Linked DNA regions of Mus musculus. The protein of the gene in region 1 interacts with the protein of each later gene in a pairwise test. Links are inferred from orthologs where the notes say so. Each region holds a gene or a part of one and is shown in the gene's direction. Other genes may lie near its edges. The genes, in order: Pias2, Tsr2, Nav2 and Ccndbp1.

Region 1 (5,911 bases):
TTTGTCTTTTCCATGTAGATATTAAGTGTTAAGGGTTTTTTGTATTCTTTTATTTGTTTCTTGTTTTTTTTTTTTTGTTTTTTTCCCAAGACATGGTTTCCCTGTGTACCAGCTCTGGCTGTCCTGGAACATGCTTTGTGGACCAGCTTGGCCTCGAGCTCACAGAGATCTGCCTGTGGTTGCCTTCCAAGTGCTGGTGTTAAAGGCCAGCACCACTGCACCTGGCTTGTTTTTTTGGTATTCTTTAAATGGTTCTGAAGAATGAATGTACAAAATTGTTATATAAGAGTACAAAACCTTAGGCTCAGAAAACTATCGTCATTGATGTTGTGAAATAATGCAGGTTAATAATTAAGAGCTTTTTTCAGAGTGCATCTAATACTATAAATAGCAGTAACATTACTGGAGTCTAATAAATGCTAATTGATGGTTTTGGCCCAATGAGTTATGATGTATGGGCTGTCTTTGCAATGCACTTTTAAACTACACAAAATGTTTATTTCCTATATTCTTACATAGACATGTGGGTGAGAAGTCATTAGCAGACCTGAGACCCTTCTATATAATGTGTTGTTGGCACCAAGCTAACTGAGAGAAAGTAGACAATTCAGTTAGAGGACACAGCCCGTGAAAAAGTAGCCGACTGTACCTAATGATAGGGATTGAGAAATGTCAGGAATAGTTAACGTTTCTTCCCCCCCTCCTTTTTTTTTAGGGATTTATTGTTTTATTTATTCAATAATTTATTCCACATACCTAGGAGAATGACTACATACAACAGAAACTCAAAAATATTTACAAATAAATGAATTGGCCTTTTAAAGGGTCAATTTATGTTAGTTATAGCTAGGTAATAAAATGTAATGATTAATATATATTAAGTAACATAAGCAGAAACAAAAGATTTTTTCCTAACATTCATACAGTGTCCTCCAATCCCACTCACTTTTTATTCCTCCCAGATCCACCCTTGAGTCACCCACCAAAACTATCAAGTCCAATTTGTGCTGTACATAGACTCATTGGAGCAGGGTCAAACTCCCAGGTAGTGAGTTCCTTAAAGAAAACTGACTCCTCCCCAACCCTCACCAGAAGCAAAGCAAAACATTTTAATTCAATTAAGTTAATTTTATGTAAAGCAAGTATATAGTCACTGCATGACTAAAACCTGTAGTGACTGTTTATGTCAGGAGTCCATGACACGTGTGGAAAGCCGCTTTATCAGCACCCCCCTCCCCCTCCTCTAAAAGTTTGAATTACTATTAGATAAAAGATCAATGAGATTAGGTTTAGGGAAGTAAAGGTGTGTTCACGGGAGTATCTTGTTCACCTTCACTTACGGTTTCTATGAGATAGACTATGACTAGAGAGAGATTATGTCTTCTTTGAACATAAATTCATAAAAAGATATGACTGTGGTACCTACTTTGATGGTTATTGAAATCTACTCCTGTCTTTCTATTCCTGTTTCTATTTCAGGAACATAAACAGAAACATTTAGAAACAGCAGCACATTTCATCTAAATTCTCAATATAAGACTTTATTTGTCATAATTTCATGAGTTATATTTGTGTTAATATAGTCAAACCTAAATTGTTAGATACTTAGAACTTTATAATTATATCATCTTGAAAACTGCTTCCTTTTTGAGAACAAAATGGTCTTCTTTGCTCCTGCTAAAGACTCTTCCCTTAAATTCCATTCTTGTAGTATAGCTGTTGTTTTTATTTACATTGTAGTTGAACATCATTCACCATATTTTTCCTGTGTGAAAGTTTCTTTAAATCAGTTTGTGGAAGAAAGAGAACTTTTATGAGGAAAGCTGTGAATAACGCATTTCTAGTGTAGCTTTGGATGACGTTTGATGATTGCTACCAATGTGAAATGTGCTTTTTTTTTTTTTTTTTTTAAAATTGAGAGAAAGTAATTATCAGGTGGGGGGATTGGGAAAGAAAATAACTTTTGAGTTTCCATTATGTGTAAATGTTTCAACAAACCCTGAGGGAGGTATCATTTTTATTTTGCAAAATAAGAAACTGACTGAGGTTGGATAGCTCAAATCAAAGGGTCACTAGTAGAACAGGAATAAAGCTTTTATTCTGATAATTATTCCAATTTTGTTTCCAACAGTTGCTGACAGATTGGGCTAAAATATCAATGCACTGAGCTTTAGTAGACCTGCTGCTGTTGAGTTATTTTATTTTATTGGAGTTTTTCCAGACAGGGTTTCTCTGTGTAGCCTTGGAATTCCAGGTCTAAAACTTACTCTGTAGGCCAGGCTGGCCTTGAATTCATAGAGATCCTCCTGCCTTTGCCTCCCAAGTGCTGGGATTAAAAGAGTGCATCACCATTGCCTGGCCTTTATTTAGTTATCTTTATGCAGCTTTGTTTTCAAAGCATCATTAATTTTGTGTGTGTGTGTGTGTGTGTGTGTGTGTGTGTGTGTGTGTGTTTCTCTGCCTTTGAACTTAGATATTATTGAAGTAAAATGATCTTTCAAAAAATTTGAAACCACCCATAAATAAAAAGATAAACAGCTTCACGAGAGTAAATTTAGGCTGGAGGGTTTTTTTTGTTTTTGGTTTGGTTTGGTTTGGTTTGGTTTTTTTCGAGACAAGGTTTCTCTGTGTAGCCCTGGAACTCACTCTGTAGAACAGGCTGGCCTCAAACTCAGAAACCTGCCTCTGCCTCCCAAGTGCTTAGGATTAAAGGTATGTACCACCACCGCCCGGCAGGCTGGAGCTTTTTATTTTGAACATCCTGTTTGACTTGTTAAGACTCTAATGAGCACCTTTTCTCCTGTAGGTTCTCTTGTCCTATTTGAACTCATTGCTGCTGTATTCTCTGTTCTGTAGTTAGGAAAAATGAGGCTGACAATCCCGTGCCGTGCAGTGACTTGTACACATCTGCAGTGCTTTGATGCTGCCCTCTATCTTCAGATGAATGAGAAAAAGCCCACCTGGATCTGTCCTGTTTGTGACAAAAAGGCTGCCTATGAGAGTCTGATACTAGATGGGTAAGTGTAACTCTGGGCAAACAGTTAGAGAAATAGAATAAGTGGAGGAAAACAAGCAGGCTACTGCTGATGTGGGGTAGGGGACATTTTTAATTCTATCACTCAGGAGACAGAGTCAAGTAGATCTCAGTTTAAGACTAGTTGGATTTGTGTGTGTGTGTGTGTGTGTGTGTGTGTGTGTGTGTGTGTGTGTGTGTAGTATATAGTGAGACCCTACAAAGTATTAAGTAGTTATGTGTACCTTATAAATGCAGTCATATTACATAGGTGCTAAGTTTGAAGCTGTAGTTTGTGTGTAGGTTATTCTGGCTCTGGAGTTAAGTTCTAAATGTGATTTCTTACATTGTTTATATTAGAATTGGGAAAATTGTATGAATTGATTTAATAAGTTAGGTCTTCCTTTTTGTTAAAGATTTGATTTTTAATTATGTGTATATATGTGTGCCAAAGTCTGTGTGTGTGCAGTGGTAGGCCCTGATTTCTATTCCTGTCCTTTGTGCTCATCCTCTACCCTCCCATCCATCTCTTTATCTCCCTCCCATAGAGAGGAATTATAATTGTCATGGAATGTTAAATAAGTGAAGTTCCAGTGGCCTTTTTAGGTCAGACTGTTACTTTGACTTCAGTGTATACTATTTTCTTATTTCATCATTGACTTTTATGACATTTATGTACTTTACAGGCTTTTTATGGAAATTCTCAATGACTGTTCTGATGTGGATGAGATCAAATTCCAGGAAGATGGTTCTTGGTGTCCCATGAGACCTAAAAAAGAAGCTATGAAAGTAACCAGCCAGCCCTGTACAAAAGTAGAAAGTATGTATTGAATGTCAGGAACGTTCAAAGCAGTATAAATTATGAAGTATAAACTCTAACTACTAGGACTATATTCAGAATTTAGTTTGCTAACTTTAGGTCATTCATCCTTCCTCATTTTCTTAAGGAATGTGCTAATTTATATACCATTCTTCAAGCTTTTAAATGGTGTTTCATGTACAAAACAGAGAAGTTAGAAGGCTTTGAGGATGGGTATAGATAGCATGAAGCCTGGAGTTCAGCCCTGAGTTACGGATGGGGCGGGCCATGGGTGGCCTTTGTGTAATCCTGGTCCTCTGGAGGCAGAGACAGGAATCCGTAGGGCATCCCGTTATCTACCTGTGGGTGGGTGCTGACCCCCTTGAGGGGGTGGAGTGACTTTTTCACAGTGGTTGACTTAAGACCATTGGAAAACACAGATATGTATATTGCAAATCATCGTAGAATTACAGTTATGAAGTAGCAACAAAAGTAATTTTATGTTTGGGGGCCACCATAACATGAGGAATTGTAGTAAAGTGTCCCAGCAGTAAGAAGGTTGAGAACCACTAAACTAGACTTAAGTAAGGAAATCGGTGCAGTGAGACCTTTAAGTGGCGCGCAGTTGAGGAAGATGCTTGATATTAACCCGTCCTTCACATGCATGCCATTGCACAGAAGCACACTTGAGAGACAGAAGGATTAGGAACTGTTTTGTATATCTTTATAGAACCTATTGTGGTTGGAGCGGCCATATATATCATTTATTAATCAGTGTGGAGACTGGTCATGAATTAGCTGTTACTGAGCAGATTCTTCCATTTGTTGGTGTAGGGATTCTATAGCTTTAGTTACCCAGCGTGTGTACTTACTTTTAGCTCCTTTAGCTATCTGCACTGAAGGGCCCTGCTAAAGGAGTTTGGTAAGTTGAAGTCCATGTGCACATGCAACCTCTGGACTCATTTCCTTTGATTTTCTTCTGGCTCTGTTGAATTGAGCAAGTACTCTGTTACTTGTTCTCTTGTGATTGCTCGAACTCTTAGGAGTCACATTGCATGGGTTGTCCACATTAGTGTAAAGTGTGGGCAGGTATGGTTTTATTGATTTATGTCTGATGGTTTTTCCCTAATGAAATAGCATTCATTTTTTTGTGGTAGGTTATAGAGAATAATGTTATATAATATGATAAATGTGATTGCTTGTATAGACTGAATGAGTAGTGACTAGATGATTCATGCCATAGTAGCTTTGTTTACCAGCTTGTGACTTTTATACGACCACTGGAGTTGAAATGTCTGTCTCTAACTCAGCGGTGCCGCATATAGAAACATGCAGCTACTGACACTGCATACTCAATACTGCCACACGTGTATGATGACAGTGCAGAGCTGGTCACATTCTATACTCTTGTCCCACGGGATAAGGCCAGTTGTCTAACCCTCATGTTCTGTCTGTACACGGATTGCTAACCTAGAAAGACAACATGAGTAGCCCCAGGTTCTGTAGTAACCCACTGATAGTGCTGGAGAGAGCATGCTGTGAAGGGGGCTTCTGACCTCTGTCAGGAATAGCCCTGGCAGTCCTCACTTATGTTGAGTTAGTCCCTGCTAGAGAATATGGTTTCCTTAGCTGTGTATTTTCATGTATATATGCACATATTTAAGACTTCTATAGCTAGTTTTTGTTAATTCTTTGATATTTCTTTTTTTGTCCCCCTGTTTATTTCCATCCAGGTTCAAGTGTCTTTAGTAAACCTTGTTCAGTGACTGTAGCCAGTGATGCAAGCAAGAAGAAGATAGATGTTATTGATCTAACAATAGAGAGCTCTTCTGATGAAGAGGAAGACCCTCCCGCCAAAAGGAAATGCATCTTTATGTCAGAAACACAAAGCAGTCCAACCAAAGGGTTTGTCGATTTATAGTTCACTACTGTTCATTGTACTTGAAATGAATTGTTCTTGGGATGGTTTTGAAATATCTGTGTGAGAAGTAACTATAGAAAGCAATTTTCATCTGCTTTGGTACAGTTGAAATACTTCAAGAAAGCACATTATTTACAGGAGATTAAATTTTGCTGAAAAAATTCGACATGTCTGGGAA
Region 2 (6,457 bases), on another chromosome or scaffold:
GAAACTGTAGTATACAAGCAAAAGGCCAGTAGACAAAAAAAAAAAAAAAAAGCTCAAACAAAGCAACACCAGATGAAGTCTACAAAAATACCATTGAGTCCAGTTTTTGTTGGCTATCTACTGCTGCGTGTAGAGCCTGCCTGTAAGAGTGGTTTGTATCCCCAGTGAGAAAACTAGTTTTTCCCCTTTTCAATCAGTTAACTGGAGGTACCTTCCGGATTAAGGATGGGGGCTTGCATCTACCTCCCTTCTAAGCACGGGAGCCACATCTGGTTTACGCTGCTGCAGGCCCTGTGCATGCTGCCACAGTCTCTGTGAGTTCCTGTGTGCATCAGTCCTCTTGCATTTAGAAGGCCTTATTTCCTTCATGTCGTCCATCTTTTCTGGCCCTTACAATCTTTTCCACCTTCTCCTCTGTGGGATTCTGAAGAGGGCTTTCATGAATACATTCCATTTAAGACCAGAGCTTCTCACTCTCAATACATTGTGGGTCTCTATGTTGGTTCCCGGCTTCTGCAAGAGGAAGCTTCTCTGATGGTGGCTGAAAGAGGCACTGATCTACCGGTATAGGAGACTGTCATTAGGTGTCATTTTATTGCTGTGTGTTCCTTTAGCAGAACAAATGCTTCCTTTGCTAACTGTTCCTTTTTCTAAATGCTTACAGAGCTTAATGTGTTCTCTAAACGCTTGTAGTTAAATCTCATTAACTTTGCTTATCATATATCATAATGATCCTAACAATCAGATAACACTGGATGATCATATCACAATGCTGGCTTATCCTGAACCTCTTTCCTGCAGTGTAATCAAAGGCCTGGCTTTACCTGAAGGAGGACAGAACTCCTCAGACTGCTGAGGGCAGTGGTGGGCTGTATCTCCCCCATGGGCTCTTTCTAAATATTTACAGCTCAAACATTTTTGTTGCAAGCTAAAAATGTGTCCCCTAAGTACTTCAGCTACAACACTCAAGGTTCATTTCATAGTGTTTTCCAATTTCCCTTTGTTTTTGTCCTTTGACCTATTTCCATAAAATAGAGTCCATAAGGTTACACAAATTTATGGATTTCACATGTTTCTTTCTCTTACTAATTTCTAATTTTGCTTTGCAGTCTTTCTTTTTTTTTTTTTTTTCTTTTGTGGTCTTGGGATGAAACTCCAGGACCCCAGTATGCTGGCAAGGTAGATAGAAACATTATCAGCCCTTAGTCCTTAAAACATACTAAACGCTGTTGTGTGGAATACTACATGGTGTGTCTTGGAGAATGTTCTTGTGAACTTCAGAAAAATCTATATTCTGTGCTAAGTGTGGTGGTGTGTGATTAGTCCTAGAATTTAGGAGAGTGTGGTAAGAGTCCAATACCAGACATGGCTACACAGTGGAAACTGAAGTTCCTAGAGAAAAGAACAGGTACATCTGTATGGACCGTTCTATAGGACCAAATGACGGAGCTTTGTGGTTGGGGTGAGTAAAAATGTTACAGAGGAGAGACAAATGACCTTGAGCTACTTTTAATCCCATTGAAAACAATTCCTTGTCTTCCCTTGAATCTGAACGAGAAATCTCGTGGTTATCACAACTTTTCAAATACATACTTAACAGCGAGCATCTATGAATCCAAAAGCTAAGAATGTCATCAGACAGTATCTGAAACCTAAGCAGAAATTTCCTCATCCCACTACCTGTAGTCTCTATCAATAGATTTAGTAAATGCTTTGACTTAGGACTTTCTTTGTTCTGTAACTACTAAAATGTCATTTGACCACTTCCACAAAAGAAAATATCTTTCTGGACAACCTGAATCCTGGACATGGTCACTCATATTTGACTCAAGAATGAATTGTTGGAGCTGGAGAGATGGATCAGCGGTTAAGAGCACTGACTGCTCTTCCTAGAGGTCCTGAGCTGAGTTCAAGTCCCAGAAACCACATGGTGGCTCAAAACCATCTGCAATTGGATCCGATGCCCTCTTCTGAGGTGTCTCTGAAGACAGTGACAGTGTACTCACATATATAAAATAATTATTTTTAAAAAATTAAAATTACATTTATTTATTGTGTGTGGGAGTGCCTGCGCCTGTGAATGCCGTGTAACACATGTGGAGGTGAGAGGAAATTGCAGAAATCGGTTCTCTAGTTCCATCCTGTAGGGCTCAGGGACTGAACTCAGTTCTTCAGGCTTGGAGGCAATTGCCTTTATCTGCTGAGCCTCGCAAATGTAGGTTTTCTCGCCCTCGCTATTCTTTTCTCCTTTCCTCTTTATTTCAGCTATGCTTCCTAAGTACTCTGCTCCAGGTTCTCCTTTAATTATTAGGATTTACTGTGGTAAGTGGTAGCATCTACCACTGATGGCGTTTCCCACTGTTCTGGTCTTGCTGCCAGCCAGATTGGCAGAAAACTAAACCACGTTCTGAGAATCGGCTTTTGGCTCCTTTTGCCTGGTGAGGTCGCCCTAGCGATTGGGCTGCCTGGGAGCCACGTGATCTAAACGGATGATGGCGGGCGCCGCTGAAGATGTGCGTGTGCTCTTCGGAGCTGCAGTCCGAGCTGCGCTGGAGGCTTGGCCTGCTTTACAGGTAAGTGAGGTCCTGGCGGGGGGTCACGATTAAGGCTGTGACAAAATAGAAGTTGACCAGGCGAGGCGCCAGAGCCATGGCTGGGCGGTGTAAGCGGCAGACTCCCAGGCCCCGGCAGGCCACGCCGTTCTGGTTTCCATGCTGTCATGGTTGGCTTGGGCCTGTGTTCACAGATCGCTGTGGAGAATGGCTTCGGGGGCGTGCACAGCCAGGAGAAGGCCGAGTGGCTAGGGGGTGCAGTGGAGGATTACTTCATCGCCAATGGTGAGTGAATGTGAGGTGTTGCTGTCTGTCGCAGTGTGGCGTGGCAGAGCCTCGACGTAGAGAGCCCGCGTTTGATGAATGAATCGTGACTTTGAGATCAGAATTGTGTCTTTAGAGTGCCTTAGAGGCAATGACACTCAAATGCTATTATGCTGGAGAACGCATTTTGCCTTCCAGAGAGTCATTTTCCTACTTTCTAAAATGGTTATGGAAAGATCCGACGAAAAGAACTATTCGAGTCATATCTTGTAACTTAAAATTGCTGGATGAGGGGTGGGGGACAGCTCCGTGGACAAAGGCCAACAAGCATAACAGTCCGAATTTCATAGCTGGGACAACATGGAAGGAGAGAACTGGTACACGCTTAAGGTGTCCTCTGATTCTCCCTACACAAGTAAATATAATTTTAAAATTGTTGGGTGAGGAGTGTAGCCCAGTGGTAGAGCACTTTCCTAGTCTGCTCGTGTCCCTGGGCTCCAACCCTGGTGCCACCAAAACTAAAAGCAGTACCTCTGATAAATAAAAGGCAGCCAGGCCCTGTGGTGCAGGCATGTACTCTCATATTCCTGATGCAAAAGGACCTCAAGTTCAGATTCACCACAACCTTGTCTCATAATAAAAATAATATAAAGACTTGGAGATATAGCTCAATGGAAGTGCTTGCTTACTACACACATGTGAGGCTCTACACTACTCATACTACCACAAATGAATAAATGAATGAAAGAAGCAAATATTATAGTGTTATTAAATTCATATCCAAGGTCTAGCATATGGGCCATGTTTGTGATTCTAGCACCAGGGAGACGGAGACAGGGGAATTGCTCTAAGTTTCAAGCTCCATATCCCCAAGTTGTCCTTATGATAAAAGAAGGGGCTGGAGAAATGTTCAGCTGTTAAAAGTGCGTCCTGCTCTTCCTAACCTGAGTTGGGTTCTCAGCTCACAACCACCTGTAACTCCAGCGCCAGAGGATCCAAAATGTTCCTCATCTGTACACATGTGCATGCACATACATGTAATTAACAAATAAGTAACACAGGGCTGAAAGGATGGCTCAGCAGTTAAGAGCATTTGTTCTTGCATTGGACCTCGGTTCCGTTCCCAGCACCTACATGGTATCTCATAGTTATCTATGACTCCAGTTCCAGGGGTTCTGATATCATCTTTCTGTCCTTATCTGGGCACCAGGTACACACAGTGCACACACAGGCAATCAAAACAACATGCACATGAAATAAATACAACAAAAATCCTCTTCCAAAATATTTTAGTATGTCATAAGAATTAAGCATTTTTCACTTTTAGTATTAAATTTCACAATCTGGAGTTTATTTATTTATTTAGGTTTTTCAAGACAGAGTTTCTCTGTGTAGCCCTGGCTGCCCTGGAACTCACTCTGTAGACCAGGCTGGCCTTGAACTCAGAAATCCACCTGCCTCTGCCTCCAGAGTGCTGGGATTAAAGGCGTGCGCCACCACGCCCGGCACAATCTGGAATTTTAAAAGTCTTAGTACGTCTCATTTGTGACCAGCCACATTCTAAGTGCTTGTGCTCGATAAGCACATGCTGCTGCTTCTACACAAAAGTTCTACACTTCCATTTTGTCTTGGTGGGGTATAAAAGAACAAGAGGACTTAGAGTATTGCATGCTGTTTTTTTTTAACTCTTCATTAACATCCTAGGTTTTTTTAAAGATTATTTTATTTATATGAGTACACTGTAGCTGTCTTCAGACACACCAGAAGAGGACATCAGATCCCTTTACAGATGGTTGTGAGCCGCCATGGGGTTGCTGGGATTTGAACTCAGGACCTTTGGAAGAGCAGTTGGTGCTCTTAACCACTGAGCCATCTCTCCAGCCCCCAATATCCTAGTTTTGAGGATGGTATTAGGCAGATTCACAGCTCAACATTTACAATCTAGTGAGTGATTTCAGGTAAGTAAATGAATAGTTAAAATACTGGGTGGTGTGTGTTATGCTAAAGAGGAGCTCAGAATTCTTCAGTTAACTGAGCCTGAGGAGAAGCCTTTTTGATTTGATTTTTGTTTTTTGGGTTTTTTTTTTTTTTTTTTTTTTTTGAGACAGGGTTTCGCTATGTAGCACTGACTATTCTAGAACTCTTCTGTTGACCAGGCTGGCCTCAGACTCCGAGATCTACCTGTCTCTTGTCTCCCAAGTGCTGGGATTAAAGGTGTGCGCGCCACCACTGGTCAGTAAGAGGCCTTCTTAAGAGTAGCGATTAGAGTGAGGCCTAAGGAATGAAAAGGGGGAAACTAGGTAGAGATGATAAAGCATGTACTCAAAGGAGTTAAGTGCATTATATTAAGGGGATGGAAGAGTGGTAGAGAATGGTGTGTGTGTGTGTGTGTGTGTGTGTGTGTGTGTGTGTACAGAGACACTGACTAAAGGGTAAGAGATAAAAGGCCTTCTGTGACTTTGCTTATAGAGATAGAAAGCCAGTGTCTGTAAAATTCAAGCTATAAAAGACTTGTCTCGTTAGATATTCAATGAAGAAAATGTTTCTCCAGTCAAATTATAGAAGCTTTTTTCTTCCAGCTGCTATTTTATTCCTAGTAGTAGTAGTAGTAATTGGAGACAGTATCTCCTTCTATAGCTCAGGCTGCCATGGAATTTATGTTCCTCATGCCTCATTTTCCTGAGTGCAGGGTTATATAGGTGTGTGCCATCAGTCCTGACTCTGTTTTCCATTAGCTTTTTATGGAGATCTTCCCGTAAAACTCAGCAAAATTGAGCTGGGAATGTAACACAATTGGTAGAGTATTTATCTAACATAAGAGGTCCAGGGTTCAATCCCTAGAGCCACATTAACCAGGCATAGTGATTCATGCCTGTAATCTTAGCACTGGGAGGTGAAGGAAGGAGGATAATCAATTACCAGGAGGAATTCCAGGCTAACCCTGTATTATATAGTGAGTTTGATGCTAGCCTGGGCTACATACCTGTTATAAAAACAAAACCCTGAAACTCAGCAAAATATTTCCTAAAGGCAAGCTTCACAATAGGTGATAAAATTCATGAGCAGGTTCTAAGGTAAGTAAGTAGTGTTTGCTAGCTAGAAAATTCAGAAAGTAGTTAGTATAGAAAATAATGTCTAGGGGGCTGGTGAGATGGCTCAGTGGGTAAGAGCACCCGACTGCTTTTCTGAAGGTCCGAAGTTCAAATCCCAGCAACCACATGGTGGCTCACAACCACCCGTAATGAGATCTGATGGCCTCTTCTGGTGCATCTGAAGACAGCTACAGTGTACTTACATATAATAAATAAATCTTAAAAAGAAAAAAGAAAATAATGTCTAACGTAGGACAATGGCAATGGTCAGAGAAAAAGAGAGTATCAATAGAGGGGGTTTGGAAAAGAGATTTATGATGAGTGGCAGGGTAGATAGAAGCCTTTCATTGGATAGAGGAACCTTGGAGGATGAGATGCTGGTTTGGAAGGCAGGATAATAAACCTGGCTTTGGATATAGGGACCTGTTTAACATTTGGACACATAATTAGCCTGAGTGGAAGACAAAATTTTTTTTTAAGATTTATTTATTTATTATATGTAAGTACATTGTAGCTGTCTTCAGACACTCCAGAAGAGGGAGTCAGATC
Region 3 (4,611 bases), on another chromosome or scaffold:
GGAGGAAGGAAGGAAGTGTGCCCAAGTCCCCCCAGATATGGCTGTCAGCCTGCCTGAAACCCGCCCCTCACTTCTATGGCAGCTGCGACAAAAGTCGGACAAAGAGTATTGCTTGCATTGCATAATGGAGGAACACTCTTCAGAAGGGCGGCAGGGCTGGAAGGCAGCCACATCACCTGTTCTAGCCCTCGTGAGGAGCCAGTGGACTAAATAAATGCCAGCAGGTGACCTCGGTAGTCTGCGTCCTGCCAGTCGCTGCTGCAGCACAGCCACCCCGTGTTGAGGCTGTGAATAGGTGCTGACTAAAAGAATTCAACGCTGCTATCCTGCCCAGGGTCTGAAGGGAATGCCGGATCCAGTAGACATTTCTCAAGGCCAAGGTCATGTGGGTCTTACTGAGGCTAGCAAGGTCATTGCGTCATCCGTCCTGAGATCTGGACTGACTGGGGGTATTCGATAGTGAGTAGCCCTCTCTGCTGCAGAGAATTAACTGCTGTATGGCTGCCAGAGGAGGTTAGGAGGTTAGGCTTGGGTTCTTTCTCCACTTGAGGTAAAGGTGGCAGGCAACAGCTCACACTCTGTCTTAGTTAGGGTTTCACGGCTGTGAACAGACACCATGACCAAGGCAACTCTTAGGACAGCATTTAGTTGGGGCTGCCTTACAGGTTTAGAAGCTTAGTCCAGTATCCTCAAGGTGGGAGCTTGACAGCATCTAGGCAGGCATGGTGCAGGAGAAACTGAGAGTTCCACATCTTCATCTGCAGGCTGTTAGGAGAGTACTGACTTCCAGGCAGCTAGGAAGAGGTTCTTAAAGCCCACACCCACAGCGACACACCTACTCCAAGGCCACATCTTCACGTAGTGCCACTCGCTGGGCCAAACATATTCAAAAGCTTGCTCTGCAGCGGGTGGGCTGTTCTTGAGTGGTCAGCACACCATGTCCTTTGCTCCCCAAGAGATCAGCCCTGCGTCTGGTCCACGCACGGGACAAGGGAGGCTCGGGTGCTTTGGTACGTGGTGTGGCGCATATCCCCTGCACCATGATTGCTCCTGGCAAGCTGCTCCTCCCCCTCCCAAAGGCTGTGGCAGTGACTGAGGCCCTTATGCCTCAGATGTCAAGGCTGCTAGCGACAGCCGTGGGGATGGCATTGGTAGGGTTTTCCACTTAACTCACAGTGTGGCAAATATATTAGCTCATCCCAGACCTCCACATGACGGGCAGGAACTATTGAGTTAAGTTTGAGCAGTAAGGAAATGCCACAGAAAAGGACTAAGTAACCTTTCAAGGTCATGGAAGGGTAAGCAGGGAAGCTGGAATCTGAGCCCAGGACTCTTGTGCTCTTGTCTGCAGCCTCTCTGGTAAGCCCTGACCTGCGGGGTGAGTCTGGAGTAGGTGGCGGGGGCTCCAAAGAGGCCAGGGTGGGCTTCCCAGCCAACTGGCAGGCACTCCAACCCCTCTGCTCTCCCCACAGATGAACATGCTGATGAGGTTGCAGGAGGCGGCCAACTACTCCAGCCCCCAGAGCTATGACAGCGACTCCAACAGCAACAGCCACCATGACGACATCCTGGACTCGTCCTTGGAGTCCACTCTGTGATGGAGACTCCCCCACTCTCCCTCGCTCCATCCCACCCCGCATCCTCCACTTCGTTCTGAAGATGACTTCCTGAGCCAGCCCTGGCTGCCACAGCCTTGAAGCCAGAGCAGAGTAGCGGGAGCAGGAACCCCTCCTCGTCCCTTGCTCTCTGCCCTCGCATGAGCAGCCCAGGACCTCCCCTTCCGACAGTGACAACTGTACTAGCCTCTCTTCTACCCTCATCCTCGTTTTTTTTTTTGCCTTGTTGCCGTGACCTCCGTGAGACACTGAAAATACTTCATGGGAAAGGATCCTCACTGTTGAAATATAAAGGGTTTAAATGGAAATTTTAAACGTAAGATTCCACTTGGTGCCCTGAAACCCAACAGCATCCCTCCACATACTACCCCCCAGACAGAAAAGACTAAACTCAACTTGGAAACACAGACAGCAGGGCTTACTCCCAGCACAGACCCCGCCAGTTTGGGTCTGGCCACCAGCACCCCAGAGCCATGCCACCCACCCTCCATGGAAGAATTGGTGCTAACGAGGGCGCCTGCTTGGAGCGCCACCCAGGGACACCCATACATCACATGTCTCTGTTTTCCACATGGTGCTCGCCTTCCCGAGAGGTATTCTGTCTATTCCAGTGCACCCCTCCCCCTGTTCCCGGCCCATCATCCCTCCCACCCACCCCCACCCCCACCCCCATGATCTGTGAGAGCAAGTGAAGATGCAAGAATGTGAGTGAGCAGATGGGGCTAGCAACACAGAAAAGCGCGCCTGTTTCCTTCGTCTGTCTAAATGGTCAGGTTTCTGTCCGCAAACACTGTGTACTGTACAAGTAGTTCTTTGGAGAACTATCAACCCCTGCCTGTGTCTGCCTTTCTTCCTGGTTGATTGTGAAGGCCCCTTTTCCCCAACCCCCACTCCCTTGACCAGAATTAGTCCTTTGGTGAAAGCAAGAACTAAGTAGAGTTTGCCTCCTCCCTCAGCCTGGGTTTTCAGTGTCCACTGTCACAGTTCTGGGCCCTCGACACCTCCTTCCGGGGTTGTGTGGGCATCCATATCCTTTCAGATAGAGGAGGACTAGTTCTCCTCCTGTGGGTGAGCCATGGACCTCGCCTTTCCTTCTTGTCTCTGAGAGCTGAGAACCCCACAGCATCACCTTGGGCACCCCAGACCCCAGTTGCAGGAGGAGTTGACGATGCCCCCTCACCAAAAGCTGGCACTTTCCTCAGATCCAATGTGACACAGCTTAGCCAGGGAGGGGCGGCCACCCTTCCCAGAAACCCGGCCAGCCGTGCCTCCGTCCCGATGAGCCTTGCCTGACCTCTTCGGTGCTGACCGCCCCCATGCAATGCCTTACTGGTTTTGTGCTGACCGTGTCCATTCACATGAGTGTTGTGCCTGCCTGGGGTTGTGTGTGTGTGTGTGTGTGTGTGTGTGTGTGTGTGTGTGTGTGTGTGTGTGTGTGTGTCTTCCCCATCGAAGTAAACAGGGCTATAAGTCATCTATCCATGAAGAGAACACAAGTTGCCGACCTCTCATCTCAGAGAGTCATCTATGTGGATGTATGATTGGGGGGGGGGGAGGGGGAGGGAGGGAGGGAGAGAGAGAGAGAGAGAGAGAGAGAGAGAGAGATGTTTTTTAGGCTCCTATCGGTCTCCAGCCAACAAATTCACTGGACAGTGACCCCACAAGTCCATTCAACCTTGCAAATTTGTACTCTAGGACACACCCCTCAGTGTGCCATGGCTTCAGCACACTGGTGTCCTCTTCACCGTATGGACATCTTTGAGCTCTTTGTGTTTTATAGAAACTTTCCTGGCCCCACCGAGGGTGTCTCTGTTAACGATCAGGGTTTTTAACCTCATCTTTGATGTTCCATTCTTGAACGTTTGTCTTTTTTTTTTTTTTTTTTTTTCTTACCCTAAGAGCTTGGCCCAAAACTGCTCGCTTTCTTTGGAATGGCACTGATTTTCTTCCTCATTGAAAGGAACAAGAATGTGTCCTGCTAACTGGTAACTAGAAACATTTCCGTTCCCTGCTGTAAGCCCAGACCCAGCCTGCCTTTGCTACTAGTGTGGATGTGAGTGTGTCTTCTGTTGTTTTGTTTGTAATAAAAGTTTCAAACCACGTGTCTAGCCTGTGACCAGGGCCAAACCCTGAGCCTTCCAGTGCCCCTGAAGGGTAGCCCTTCTCAGTCTTGTCTCCCAGCAACGGCCGTACACTCTCATACTGTGAATTTGGGAGGTAGGAAAATCGAACCCCTCCTCAACATAGTTTTCTCAGTCACCTTAGGAGTACACCGCACCAACATTGCTTAAAACTGTTTCCTTAGCAACACCCTCTCCCCACTCTCCACGCCCAGATGTCTCTCCCAGCCCACCCAGGATCGCAACAGCAGCCTGTGTACCCATTGCTGCCTGACTTGGTTCTGTAGCCCCAGAGTGCCTCCTGGCTCAGCCACCTTCCCGAAACACTGGGAAGTGGGGCTGTCTGAAAGGCACATTTCCGACTGGGTCATGATTTTCCTTTTAAGTTGCTCGACCTTGGACAAAATGACTTTGTACCCATTTAGAACTCTGTCTGCAATGCTTCCATTTTGCCTTTTTCTATAGATAGGCTACTTTTGAAATCCTATGCAATGCCGCTGCTGAGGTACCAGGGGGAGCCAAAAGTTTTCTTCCCAGGAGGCCAAGAATTCTACAGAAGTCCTTTTAACTTAAGGTTGGGGGTGGGGTGGGAGTGTGACAAGGGCAAGACTCACCCAGATCTTCCTCTGACCTTGGGGACATTTTAAATTTTATTGTTTAATGCTCGACTTTAAAATTCTGTGTGCTCAAATTCCAACCCTGGCAAATCTACTTCAAAAGCAAAAACAGTCCAACTTTGCGGATATCGAATGGGAGGTTTGCTGTTTTGACCTGCTTGTCTCGAGCCGAGCGGTTTATGAAACATGTTCTATAAGATGTACATTTTTTTTTTCATTGTAACATAGAAATTGTAAATATTCGATGAAACTGCTGCA
Region 4 (4,257 bases), on another chromosome or scaffold:
CTTCTACTGTACATATGGCAGGTTTATTCTTGCTACTTTCTTCATGTGACATATGGCTCCCTAGCCTTTACATTCTCTCCATTGAGGACCTGGTTGACATTGCTGACACCTGTGCTCATTTACCGTGTGTGGACATTGAACTCCACTGAACTTGGAATATTCATGGTGCAGTTAAAAAGTCATCTGAGCTCCTGAAGTCCATGGCTTACAGCTAGCAGCCTGGAAGAAGTCCAGCCTCCACATTTGTGGCTCAGATCTCTGCCCTGTGGCAGATGGGAAAGCCAGTATCAGTGGGTGAGCTTCAGGAAGCAGTCACTCCTTGGACATCTGAATGTTGGAAATGTTTACTACTGATTCTTGCTGTGTGGACTGCAGAAAAGTCTAACAATTGATTCTTCCTCAGGAGGCAAAGAGCCCTAATCAAGAAGATTGCCACAGTGGGGTCTCTGTGTCACTGTGTCCCTTGGTACTACTGTGTTTATTAGGGTCATCCTGTGAAAAGCATCCAGCCCGAACTTGGAGTTCAGGATGTCATTTTCTGCCTAGGGAGCCTGTGGAAACTTGTCCTGGACCTTTACTGCTCCTGAGACTTGACTTCCCAGCCTGTTTCCCCACCGATCATGGGCTTTCTGCTTCCTTAGCCAAGGTTGTTTTCAACTAATCAAATAAATGAATGAATGGTAGCCATAAACAATGGGTTGGAGAGATCAGTGGTTAAGAGCATGTACTTTACCTCCAGAAGACCCGAGTTCAATCCCTAGCAACCATGTCAGATGCTCACAACTGCCTGTAACTCTAGCTCCAGGCCAGAGCCACTGTGGGCACCTACATTCATATGTGCACAGACTTACATGTGATTAAAAAATAATAAAAGATAAGTATTAACAAAGAAATATCACAAACGGATCTGCAATGTTGATAAACATATGGGAGCCAGAAAGTGGGCCTGGTTTGGGGGCTTGGAGAAAGAGTCACCAGGGAGCTGGAGTCAGCAGTTAAGAGTGCTGGCTGCTCTTCCAAAGGTCACAGGTTCGATTCCCTTCACTCACACAGTGTAACTCCGGGTCCTGGGGATCTGATTCCCTCTCTGGCCTCTGCAGGCACTGCCACGGACATATTTACAGGGGAAAAGCTCAGTTACATAGAAGAGTGGCCAGGTCTCTAGTAGGTCAAAAGATGCCTGGCTGGGTCTTTTGAGTGGCCTAGTGTCATGGAGGGAGGGGTAGTGGGGTGTAGCCAGGGACTGGAAAAAGTCTCTAGATCTGCGGGGAGGGCAGGTGAAGGAGGCGTGGCTGGGTCTCCAGGCCGGGCCAGCGGGGAGTGGGCAGGTTTCCAGTGGGGAGGCGTGGTCTTGTTCCTGAGTGGGCGGGTCTCTGGGGGTGGGGGGAGGCGTGGACGGATGGCCGGGCTGTCTGGGAAGGCGGGGTCGCTACACTGAGAAGGAAGGGGCGGGACGCGCTGTGTGTTGCCGGAAACGAGATGAGTTTTTCAGCACCGGAAGTACTGCGGCGGGGCCAAATGGCTTAAGCGTCTTAGCTGGTTCCCAGAGAGAGCCTGCGATGGCGAGCTCGACAGCCGCAGTCCCCTTCCTTGCTCCGCCTCTGGAGCAGCTCCGGCACTTAGCAGAGGAGCTACGGTCACTTCTGCCTCGAGTACGGGGTGAGTTATGGGAATCTGCATCCCGGGCTCCGGGTAGGGATGTAGGGCATCAGGTCAGGGCTCCTCTCACCTGTCTTTTGCTTTCGGGGTGATCCGGCCTTCCTCAAGTCGGCGAAGCCCAGGAGACAGCGGAGGAATTTAATCGAGAAATGTTTTGGAGAAGACTCAGTGAGTGTCTGCCGTTGCGGGCTCTTCCCTCATCTCCCTGCATCCTAACCTTCCCTCTGCTGTCCCCTGAGATGACAATGTCTCTGGTCCTCATCCCTTCTCCCACCCATTCTCCGCACTTGAAGCAGAAATATAAAACGATTTCTGGAGTTGTTTTGGAGATGTTGATTAGGGTGGAAAAGGGACGCGTTATCTAAAAAGTCCAAGTAGTAACTTTAACCTTTTAACACTAACTTTGGCCCCCTGCCGCCTCTGACACCCCCAGATGAGGCAGCAGTGAAAGTGAACGGGGAAGCCACTGTTCTGACAACGCACTTCTCTAAACTTCCATGGCCATCTCCACAGGTGAGCTTTGCTTCCGGAGGGTTATTTTCTCCTTAAGAATCCTCCCGTTTTCTTACCCTTCACATTCAAGCCACACTTATTTCCCCCACTTAGCAAGCGAGGTTACAGTTCTTACCACATGGGATTGTTGTAAATAGCCAGGTGCATAGGGTTAGAAAGGTCTTCTAAATTTAGGCTGAAACTCAGCCAGGTTAGTTCCTCTTAACTTTCAACTTTCCTTGTTGATTTATAGCTGTTTCACATACATATTCCCCATCTGACCAATGAGTAAGCAGGTTTAGAGGCTCAGGTCAATAAATAGCAGAGGAGGAGTTAAATGTCTTTGCAGTATCTAAGCAGCACCTGTTATATAAAACCCTTTAGTGTTAAGATGTTGCTGTTGCTGCTGGTGGTACACACCTTTAATCCCGGCACTTTAAGGAGGCAGGGGCTGGCTGCTCTCTTGAGTTCAAGACCAGCCTGGTCTACAGAGCAAGTTCCAGGACAGCCAAGGCTGTCCTTCTTTTTGTAATGCTTTTTATAATTGTCAGGTGTCTACCTAATTTCTTTCTATTGTGTGGTGAGTACATTATAAGACCTGACTCATGACGAGTTTTCATAAAAGATTTAACCATGCTCTATAGATGTTTGGTCTCTTCCTTAGTAAATGAGTTGACAGCATTGATGTTAAACATTCTTTCTGAATTTGGTCCATCACCTCATAGGAAACCCAGAGGATCTGTGAGCAAGTCCGTATTGCCATCGAGGAAATAATTATAGTGTATTATTCACTTCCTAAGGACCAGGGTAAGTGACCGTACACGGTAGTGTTGTATTCATGGGCTAGGGCTTTGCTAAGGTAGTAGACTATATCCTGACATGTAAACATTATATGTTTATCTTCAGGGTAATATTATATATTTATACGTAAGTATATTATCCATGTTTGTTTCTCTTCATTTTGAGCATGTGACTTTCCTGTGAAATAAAATCGAAGATAATTTTATATGTGAGTGAGTTTTGTGACACTCCCTTATGTGAAGGTACAGATGCTATGTAACTGTGACTTTCCATCGTGTGTGTGTGTGTGTGTGTGTGTGTGTGTGTGCAGGTACACACATGGGCTCTCTCCTTCTACCGTGGGTTCCTGGGATTCAACTCAGATCATCAGGCGTGTGCAGCAAGTGCTTTTACCTGCTGAGCCATCTCAACTGGCTGTTACATTTTTTTTTTTTTATTTTATGGGTATGGGTGCTTTGTCTGCATGTGTGTCTGTGTACCACATGTATGTGGTCCCTGCTGAGGTCAGAAGAGGGTGTTGGGTCCCCTGGAACTGAAGTTACAGTGTGTGTGCTGCTGTGTGGGTTGTGGAACTTGGCCCTGGGTCCTCTGGAAGACACTAAGTTCTCTTCAGTGCTGAGCCATGTCTTCAGCCCCTCAACTGACCCTTTATAAAAAAAAATCATCTATTATTTGTGTCTGTGATGTATGAAGTTGCACGTGTTCATTCAGGTACTTATGCATGTGTATATGAGTACACATGGAGGCCAATGTCTTGTGGTTTTGGAGTTCACTGATTCCCCAGGGAGCCTCCTAGCTCTGCTCTCCCTGCACTGGCATCATGGGAACACTTGAGTGTGTCGGCCTTTCTCACGTAGGTTCTGGGAACTGAACTCAAGACATCATGGTTATGTAGCTGGCATTTTCCCAAATATGCCGTCTTTTCAGCTCCTCATTCCTCTTCTTTTTTTTTTTTTTTTTTAAATTAGGTATTTTCCTCGTTTACATTTCCAATGCTATCCCAAAAGTCCCTCATACCCACACCCCCAAGTTCCTCTTCTTTTTAGTCCATTCTAATTCCTACATTTGTTTGCTGGATCCCAGCTCCATACCCATACCCAGGCCATCCCGACCCTCCTCCACCTAGCATTACATCATAACCTATTGCAAACCCCTTCACAAGTTAGCATACCCTGGCCCATAGATTTATGGCGTCACTGAAGCTCTACAGAGAGAATCAATGAAAGCATAACATAGTTTATCAGGGTTACTAACACATGCTTTACACGGCCAGTGTTTTGCTCACAATTATCAAAGGGCCGGCAT

Evidence for each region.
Region 2: the proteins of Pias2 (region 1) and Tsr2 interact in binary tests that used the Homo sapiens proteins (3 or more experiments, as listed by UniProt). The two-hybrid records come from large-scale screens. The link is inferred for Mus musculus from reciprocal best matches to the Homo sapiens genes PIAS2 and TSR2.
Region 3: the proteins of Pias2 (region 1) and Nav2 interact in binary tests that used the Homo sapiens proteins (3 or more experiments, as listed by UniProt). The two-hybrid records come from large-scale screens. The link is inferred for Mus musculus from reciprocal best matches to the Homo sapiens genes PIAS2 and NAV2.
Region 4: the proteins of Pias2 (region 1) and Ccndbp1 interact in binary tests that used the Homo sapiens proteins (3 or more experiments, as listed by UniProt). The two-hybrid records come from large-scale screens. The link is inferred for Mus musculus from reciprocal best matches to the Homo sapiens genes PIAS2 and CCNDBP1.

Annotation. Positions count from the first base shown.
Region 1 is NC_000084.6:77,130,235-77,136,145, forward strand, and holds part of Pias2 (E3 SUMO-protein ligase PIAS2), read left to right. Parts: intron 1-2,856; coding exon 2,857-3,017; intron 3,018-3,699; coding exon 3,700-3,833; intron 3,834-5,545; coding exon 5,546-5,717; intron 5,718-5,911. UniProt on the Homo sapiens protein: Functions as an E3-type small ubiquitin-like modifier (SUMO) ligase, stabilizing the interaction between UBE2I and the substrate, and as a SUMO-tethering factor.
Region 2 is NC_000086.7:151,092,545-151,099,001, reverse strand, and holds the start of Tsr2 (pre-rRNA-processing protein TSR2 homolog), read left to right. Parts: upstream 1-2,458; 5' UTR 2,459-2,489; coding exon 2,490-2,573; intron 2,574-2,746; coding exon 2,747-2,837; intron 2,838-6,457. UniProt on the Homo sapiens protein: May be involved in 20S pre-rRNA processing.
Region 3 is NC_000073.6:49,605,224-49,609,834, forward strand, and holds part of Nav2 (neuron navigator 2), read left to right. Parts: intron 1-1,472; coding exon 1,473-1,598; 3' UTR 1,599-4,611. UniProt on the Homo sapiens protein: Possesses 3' to 5' helicase activity and exonuclease activity. Involved in neuronal development, specifically in the development of different sensory organs.
Region 4 is NC_000068.7:121,006,951-121,011,207, forward strand, and holds the start of Ccndbp1 (cyclin-D1-binding protein 1), read left to right. Parts: upstream 1-1,457; 5' UTR 1,458-1,559; coding exon 1,560-1,659; intron 1,660-1,767; coding exon 1,768-1,827; intron 1,828-2,092; coding exon 2,093-2,172; intron 2,173-2,876; coding exon 2,877-2,958; intron 2,959-4,257. Other genes in the region: Tmem62 (transmembrane protein 62 precursor), read left to right, coding at 1-195. UniProt on the Homo sapiens protein: May negatively regulate cell cycle progression. May act at least in part via inhibition of the cyclin-D1/CDK4 complex, thereby preventing phosphorylation of RB1 and blocking E2F-dependent transcription.